Neurospora crassa OR74A: one gene and its partner. The protein of the gene in region 1 binds, or shares a complex with, the protein of each later gene. Links are inferred from orthologs where the notes say so. Each region holds a gene or a part of one and is shown in the gene's direction. Other genes may lie near its edges.

Evidence for each region. Proteins that work in one complex are often made in the same cells at the same time.
Region 2: the proteins of NCU09571 (region 1) and NCU04196 are in contact, whole or in part, in a crystal structure (PDB 5ERG), measured with the Saccharomyces cerevisiae proteins. The link is inferred for Neurospora crassa OR74A from reciprocal best matches to the Saccharomyces cerevisiae genes GCD10 and GCD14. Residues at the interface, in NP_014337.3 of Saccharomyces cerevisiae: Met1, Leu4, Thr5, Phe9, Arg16, Asn44, Asp45, Ile46, Ile47, Gly48, Tyr49, Pro50, Phe51, Gly52, Leu53, Leu85, Glu194, Tyr195, Ser197, Ser198, Ser199, Gln219, Glu220, Gly223, Met224, Leu226, Asn227, Leu228, Asn230, Ile231; in NP_012410.1 of Saccharomyces cerevisiae: Phe6, Ser7, Gly8, Tyr9, Lys10, Asp11, Trp22, Arg25, Pro55, Tyr56, Gly57, Ser58, Gln59, Ala61, His74, Leu76, Gln77, Thr79, Pro80, Glu81, Leu82, Leu85, Thr96, Pro97, Ser100, Tyr101, Met103, Gln104, Arg105, Asn107.

What each region holds. Positions count from the first base shown.
Region 1 is NC_026507.1:965,552-969,745, reverse strand, and holds NCU09571 (tRNA (adenine-N(1)-)-methyltransferase non-catalytic subunit trm6), read left to right. Parts: upstream 1-1,390; 5' UTR 1,391-1,493; coding exon 1,494-1,582; intron 1,583-1,662; coding exon 1,663-3,433; 3' UTR 3,434-3,808; downstream 3,809-4,194. Other genes in the region: NCU09570 (glutathione transferase), read right to left, coding at 1-366, 436-567, 626-637; NCU09572 (ARP2/3 complex 21 kDa subunit), read right to left, coding at 4,034-4,194. UniProt on the Saccharomyces cerevisiae protein: Substrate-binding subunit of tRNA (adenine-N(1)-)-methyltransferase, which catalyzes the formation of N(1)-methyladenine at position 58 (m1A58) in initiator methionyl-tRNA.
Region 2 is NC_026505.1:5,167,774-5,171,711, reverse strand, and holds NCU04196 (tRNA (adenine-N(1)-)-methyltransferase catalytic subunit trm61), read left to right. Parts: upstream 1-1,402; 5' UTR 1,403-1,627; coding exon 1,628-3,160; 3' UTR 3,161-3,431; downstream 3,432-3,938. Other genes in the region: NCU04197 (CipC protein), read right to left, coding at 89-107. UniProt on the Saccharomyces cerevisiae protein: Catalytic subunit of tRNA (adenine-N(1)-)-methyltransferase, which catalyzes the formation of N(1)-methyladenine at position 58 (m1A58) in initiator methionyl-tRNA.

The sequences.
Region 1 (4,194 bases):
GATGGAAGATTGCAGATGCTTCGGGTACAGTCCGCCACCTGGCCTGTTCACTTCACGTAGGTGTTCCGGCAGGAGGTGATCAAAGGCGGTAGTGAGCATGCGGATAATCTCGGAACTTTCGTTGTTGACAACGGTGTGGGTCTTCTTGTCCCAGAGCATGGGAACTGTAAAAGGACCGGTGAAGGAGGGGTCGGCCTTCTTGTAGAGATCGGGGAGGTACTTGAAGCCGTAAAAGGGGTCTGCAGGGAAGGAAGAACCTTTACCGCTAAAGTACCAGCCCGTGGGACCCATGGATGCGTGGAGTTCGTACAGGTCGATAATGTCCTCGAGTCCTTTGAGAATCCGGACTATGGAGGTTCTATGTGCCTGTTACCAAATGTGTAAGTTGACGGCCGACAAGAATAACGATCAAGTGAAAAAAGGAGCAAAGTTTACCCAAGGACATGTGGGCGAGATGTACAGAGCATACCGCCCCTTGTCTGCTGGAAATTGAGCATTGGGATCAGGGGAGATAAAATGGCGGAATGCGCTTTCGCTGCGAATGAAAGCTCCGGATCCCTCGTTATCCTGTTGTCCTGGGGTTAGCTGCGAGAGCTTGGAGGGGGAGGTATAGATCATAACCAACTTTGGAAGCCATTGTCAGTATGGAGATATTTAGCTAGAAGATGATGTTTTACAAGGCTTGCTAATCAAAGTTTGCGGATATGAAGACTGGCGCAATGGATGAGGGAAACGGAACGCAATCCTCGAAAAGTCGAAGTCAAGAAGTCAGGCCGGTCAAAGAAGAAGAGGGGTACTGGGCAACAACTCGACAATAAAACCGGGGGGAACGACTCGAGAGTCACATGAGTCAATGATGTGATGGTGGTGTAGCAATCAGTCAGCACAACGGATAAGTCGAGAAGCGTTGATGAGGGCACAGGTGGACGCAATGGTTCAGTTCGTAGGAAGAGTCAGGGAAGAAGCAGACGACGAGACTCGGATGGTGTTGAAGTCAATTGAAGGATTTCGTGGAAAAGGACGAAGTCTCGTCTGGGGTATGACCTAATCTAGAGGTACTGCCCTCTCCTGTGCCTGTGGGCAGTCATACGCACCTTCCCATCGACAGTTGATGACAAATTCGGCAAGGACAGCCACAGATGTCGACGCAGACGGAGAGTTGGAATTGTGTGATTGTTTACTGTGCAGTGTAGATGGTTGATGCTTCAGCGGTAATTGTTAGTGCATAACCCCCCCTGAGCAGTGAGGTTCAAAGTGGGTCCCACCCCCCAATCCATCAAGGTCCCTGGGCCTGAGCGTGGAGTCGTCTCGGTCGAGACCCATTCACGCCTCCAACGGACCCGCAGGACCCGCAACGCGCTAAGCTCTGGACTTTTCTCGCCGATTTTTTTTTTTTTCTCGGCGGCAATTGAAATTCCTCTTCGGGAATCGGAATTCCACTTTTGCAATCTTGAACCCAGCAACGAACAGGATTGCGAACCAGGCAATTCAAGATGCACCATTCAGTAATTAAGCCCAACAGCTGGGTAGCCCTCAAGCTGCCCTCCGGTGTTACCAGAGTTATCCAGGTCACTCCTAATACGTACGTCAACCGAGAACAATGGCGGCTTCAAAGTAAACAAAACATGGTGAGATGCTGATATGCCTTCATCGCACCACCAGATCGATCTCCCTTGGAAAATACGGCACCTTCCCCGCCAACCTAATCCTCGAACGCCCATACTACCTTACCTTTGAGGTCCAAGACAAGCTTCCCGAAGAAAGCTTTTCCCGCCTCCGAGTCGTCCCCCCTTCCGAACTTTACGCCGATGTCTTCGCCGAAGAGGACGCCGAATGCGCCAACCCCGCTGCCGGTCCTGGTTCGAACAATGACGCCGTCATTGCCACCGCCGCTGGCGAAGAATTCAGCTTAGTCGATGCCGAGAGCGGCAACGTCATTGCGCGGTCTACCCAAGAAGTTATCGACGAGAACGCCCGCCAGAAGCTGACACAAGCGGAAATCGAGGAGTTGAAGCGCGACGGGACCAACGCCGGCAAGGACGTCATCGCCAAACTTCTCTTGTCGCATGCTGCTCTCGACCAGAAGACTAGTTTCAGTTTGTCCAAGTACAAGCTGTTGAAGACGAAGAAGTACATCAGGAGGTTCCAGGTCCTGCCCATCGACGTTCCCACCTTTTCCAACTGGCAGCTGGAGGAGAGAGATGCTAGCAAGATCTTGGACATTCGCGCCGAGATGATGGGTTTGGTCGGTTGCTGGGGTAACGTTCACTATGGCGGTGCGGACGTCTTCCTGGAGGATCCCAAGGCGACAACAGAACAAGGAGAGGAGGCTCTTGCACCCTTGCAAGAGGACTTGCTGGCTGGAAGGTGGCTAGTTGTCGATGATACCGGTGGTCTATTAGTCGCAGCCATGGCCGAGCGCATGGGTGTTCTCTACAAGGAAGATGACGAGACCGAGGAAGCGGCGGAAGAGGAGGAAGCCACAGAAAAGGCCGAGGAAGAGACGGAACCAAAACAGGAATCTGACACGACCAGCCAAAAAGACACGGAAATGATTGACGGACAACAGCAAGCAGCAACATCAGAGACAACAACTCTTCCCCGACACCCCAAGCGCCCGCGTGACAACAAGCCGCGCGACTCCGATTTCGCCGTTCCCTTTTCGCAAACCAACACCATCACCGTCCTTCACGGCGCCAGCCAACCGAACCTTTCATTCCTCAACTACTGGAACTTCGATGTCACCGCCCCACAACACCCGCCGCACCCGCTACTGAACCACCTTCTCACGCTCAGCTGGCTGCAGCTCCTCAAGCCCGAACTCGACACCTCGTACTCGACCCCTCCCCTCACTGCCGATCCCGAGACCTTGAGCACCTGGAAGCCCAGCCGCCGCGGCAACTTCCACCGCAAGCGCAGACGCTACGCCCGCGTTCGCCACATTGTCGACAGCACGCGCGCCGGCAACTTCTCCGGCCTCGTCTGCGCCAGCACCATGGACCCGATCTCGATCCTCAAGCACGCCCTTCCCCTCTTGGCCGGCGGCGCCCCCGTGGCCATCTACTCCCCTTCTCTCGAGCCTCTCGCGACACTAGCCGATTGCTTCAGCGTTGCCAGGAGGACGGCGTGGAACAGCGGACACGTGGCGGAGATCCAGGGCAAGACGGCCGAAGAGCTGGAAAAGTGGGAGGGAAGCGAGCAGTTCCCTCTCAACCCCACGCTGTTACTGGGCACAAGCATCCAGACTAGCAGGGCGAGGAGGTGGCAGGTGTTGCCGGGCAGGACGCATCCGTTGATGACGGAGCGCGGTGGTGCGGATGGATATATCTTTACTGGATGGAGAGCGAAGCCAGCGGAGGGCAAGATTGCGGCCAAGGGCAAATTTAAGAGGAGAAAGGTGGAGGAGAGCGTTTCGACGCCGGCTTCGGCATGAGTGGATTGGTCGGAAAGAGTTATTTATGGGAGTTCAAGGATGCCACTTCTCTCCCCGTGCATCGGAAGATCTCACACAGAGGTTTCCACGGAAGCAATGAGGTCGAGGGAAAGTCAGAAAGGAAAAGACAGTTAGAGCGTTTCGAGGCTCGCTTACAGTAGGTGGACTCGACCAGCCGAGGAGGAGTGGAGGCGACCATGGGTTTAAATGATTATGCTTTGTCCATGAAAGGCGGGCAAACAATGAGCAGGAGTCTGATAGTGGTAGCAGTTAGGAGAACCAGCATGACCGATATGCATAGATCTCGTTTGCTCTTAGATACCATTTGCACGAAATAGAGCTGCAGTAATTCTACTAATCGAACGTCAACTGGAGATATAACCCATGTCGCTCATGATCGGGTTTCAAGTGTATGTGTACTCGATCTATGCCTGATCGAACCGGACCACGCAAAAACAACAACAACTGAAAGTCTTGCTCGCTCGCCCCAACACACCCTCACACTCTAGGAAACTTGAAATATTATTTGTGTAGAGTACGTATTATACTTTGGCGCTAAACGATTCCATGCAACGCCATCTGAACAGGGAAGGCATCGCATCAGAGTCCCTTGCCCATGAACTTCCTCTTGGTAAAGCTCAACCACCACTTGCTCGGCTTGTCCTCGGTCTCGTCGTCGTACACGCGCGCCAATAACCTCTGCGCCAGTTCCTGCCGGACCTGCGACAGGTACTGACGGAGGACTTCTGCGTCTTGACGGT
Region 2 (3,938 bases), on another chromosome or scaffold:
CTAAGAGGGAAAGGTGTTAGAGACGAGATCATGAGGTTGGCACAATAGCCAGTGCGTGTGACATAATTCAAACCAGGGAGACACATACCAAAACCGAAGAAACCCATGATGATATATCGAAGGAGGTATAGGTTGGAGGTCAATGTTTACTAGTTAAAGGTTGCGCAATTGAGTAAAGAAAGAAAGAGAAAAGTTGCGAGGAAGTGATCAGTTTGAGTAGGTATGAGCCATCAATGATATAAAATACGAGATTCCTCCCGCCTCCCCTCCCTCTCGGCTTCTGAAACGCTCTGACGTATACGAGTTGCCAAACAGTTCATCCAATATCCACCCTTTCCCTCTGCTTCGGGTATGTCGGTACGTATCCATCTTGTGATGGCAGTGCTGCAGAGGGTGGGGAACTAAAAACCGAACCACCTGGCAGCTGAAACTCCACGGACAGTTACGCGTATACACACCTTTTGCCGGCATTTAAACGGGTTTACAGACACTTTCCCTCGCTTATGTTTCGAATAGGGTGAGCACAAGTATCTGTAATCTGTAACAAGATTAGTGAAAGGAAACATTGGTTTGGGGGATGCAGAGTGTGGATGGAGAGCACCACGGAGCATCCAGTATACAGTCTCTTGATGATCTTTTTAGACACAGAGAGGGCAGATATGGGAGGGAAAGATTCGAATGATCATTGCTTCTCTGAATTTCTATTTCAACCATTGCGTCTGGTGATGGGTAGGTAAGTTTGTGGTTTTCACCTCAACCGGAGAAAACCTCCTTTTATGAATACTGTAACAGCATGTGCAGTAATGGTACATAGTGGTTGGCCACGACTTGACTGCATACATAGGTAGGTACCATCCATGTGACGTGATAGAAGCGGGTCCCACCGACAGACTGGTGGTAGGTACGTGCCCCAGGTTGGTGGTTGTCAGCGGCAGGCCCTTCCTTACAACCAACCATATACGCCCTGAATTCCAGACCTTCCAACACCTTCAGTACCCAGCTTGCGTGGTAGAGTGCTTGGGACAGAAGATACGTGGTATTTTCGTTGGACGGTAGTCAACTGGGGACTTGGGCTGTCGAGCCTTTTGCTTCTTTGCTTTTCGTTTCTTCTTTACAAGTGACGTCGTTGATTGGGTTCAGTTACTCGTCAGCAGCTTGAGCCAAGGGGATGGAAGTTGGGAACCTGAAGAAGAAGAAGATTGGTGATTGAGGGTTCAACTGCCCCCACGCCAAGACGGGTTACCCCAGAACTTGGCAAACCTTATTTGCGTGCCCCCAGTGGACGTGCCCAAGGGACCAGCTGTGCAGTGTGCTTTGGGGTTAGGGTTGAAAGAGTGGAATGAACTGATAGCCCCACTTGACCGAGCGTGTGCCCCGCAGTAAAGTTCCAATTTTTGTCGAGAAAATTTCCAAAAGGGCGACTCGGACCTGGATCTGGACCAGCATCTCGACCCGTCTTTTTTTTTTTTTTAATCAAATTATTGTTATCCGACCGCGCCGCTGATAGACCGTTTGCCTCCTCCTCTGCCGGTCATTTCCACGTATTTACAATCCTTGGTTCGTTCCCTTGAACCCGCCGGAAACGAAAACAGAACAACAAATCATCTACATAACATTGTTATTGTTCATGACCGACGCCATGACGCGACCAACCGTATCCCCGTTCCTCGAACCAGGTCTGCGCACCAAGCCCCGCTCGCTCGCCATTCTCCAGCTATCGCGCGACAATCTTCTCCCCATCTACCTTCAAGAAGCCTCGGGCGAACACGACGGCTATGCTGAGGGCGCCGTAGTCAACACTCGCTATGGCTCCTTCCCTCACTCCACCATGCTGAATGTCCCCTGGGGCTCTCAAATCAGGGCATCCAAGGTTGACACTGGCTCCCGTGGTCGCAAGAGGAAAAGAGGCCCCAAGGACGATGCCAGCCGCGACGATGCCGAAGAGAACCAGCCCGAGACCGCCGACAACAATGACACTGAGGCCACCGGTGTCAAGCAGGCCGTTGCCGACGACAGCGGCTTCATCCACGTGCTCCCTCCCACTCCCGAGCTCTGGACCCAGAGTCTTCCCCACCGAACACAGGTCGTCTACACTCCCGACTACAGCTACATTCTGCACAGGATACGTGCCAGACCTGGCTCCACGATTATCGAGGCTGGTGCCGGCAGTGGCAGTTTCACCCACGCCTCCGTCCGCGCCGTTTATAACGGATACCCTTCCAGCGCCGAGGACAGGAAAGGCAAGGTCTTCAGCTTCGAGTACCACGAGGAGCGCTACCATAAGATGAAGAAGGAGCTTACCGACCATAACCTCGACGGCCTCGTTCACCTTACACACCGTGACGTCTACAACGGCGGCTTCTTAATTGACGGAAAGAGCCCGGAAGCCGACGCAATATTCCTTGACCTCCCTAAGCCCTGGGAGGCCCTCCCGCACCTCTCGCGACGCAAGCCCCAGACCCAAGCTAAGGAGGGAGAAGATACCGCCGCCGAATGGGTATCACCGCTGAACCCCAAGAAGGCCGTACACATCTGCACCTTTTCTCCCTGCATTGAGCAGGTCACCAGGACCGTTTCGGCCATGCGTCGCCTCGGGTGGGTCGATATCGATATGGTCGAGATCGCCAACAGGAAGCTTCACACCATCCGCGACCGCGTGGGCCTCCATTACCAGACCGATCGCGGCGTCAACGTCTCGCCGCACGATGTGGAAGAGGCCCTGGAGAGGCTCGCCGAAATCGAGGAACGCGTCAGGGAGCAGGCTGCGCGCCCGAGGGGTGCGGGAGAGGATGGTGCAGAGGATGCGGACACTGTCATGAAGAATGGAGATGATGCAGCCAAGAAGGACAACGACAAGACGTCGGCCGAGCAGCCGCCATTCCAGACTCCCTGGGTTGATGGTCGCCTCATCACTAAGGGTGAGCCGGAGATCAAGACCCATACGTCGTACCTGGTGTTTGCCGTGTTGCCCAGAGAGTGGACCGAGGAGGACGAGGCGGCGGCGTTTGCCAAGCACCCCTGCGGCAAGGAGAAGGCTGTCGTTGGTAGCATTGACAAGCAGACGAGGAAGAAGGAGAGACGGGAGCAGTTGCAAAAGATTGGCGACAGGAAGGCGAGGAGGAAGGAGAGAGCTGAGAAGATTGCTGAGGCCGTCGAGTGAAGCACGCTGCATTCGGATCTTTCTCTTTTTTTTTTCTCTCCTTGATTCCCCTTTTAGCGTTTTCCAGAATACTGCATTGATGTCCACAAACATGGGCGCAGGTTCAGCCCGTATCTAATTGTCACACATGCACTTGAACTTCCCACTTTGCAATTGGACGACGTGATTGGTGGGTTTCCAATGCTCTCTCAAGGCTCAATAATGCAGCAGCACTGCAGATAAAGAGCTTCTCGATTCAAACAAAATCATCCCGGTGCGTGCCCTTAAAGCCTGGCCCAAGTGGGCGACGACTAGAATTGTGGGGTACAAAAGGCGGGTTATCGACTTGTACACTTGGACCTGAATGGCTTTGTCTCCAGAAACATCAACGCTACTTTTGGCCAAATAATCGTGCAATAACTTGCTCATTTCTCGAACCATCACCAGTCGAACAGGTGATGAAAAGAAGTTTGGAAATTCATTGCAGTCCACTTTATCTGCGCGAGGATCTTCCCTGCAGTGGCGAAGCCTCGAAGAGTTCGTCCCGTTTGCCACATTTTCGCCTTTGAAACTAAAAGATTCAAGACAACTTAAAGGTCAACAGACGACGAGAGTCCAAACATTGCACATCTATAAAACCTGTGGTATTGAGCCTGGTCGAGCTGTTCTTTCGCAAAATCGAGCCACCGATACATACGGAGCTGCATCCGGTTCAGCCGAGTACCACCGAGTGCCGTGGAACTATCTTGATCGTCTAAGAAATCGATAGTCTCGACAACGAGAATTCTCTCGCTTCGCT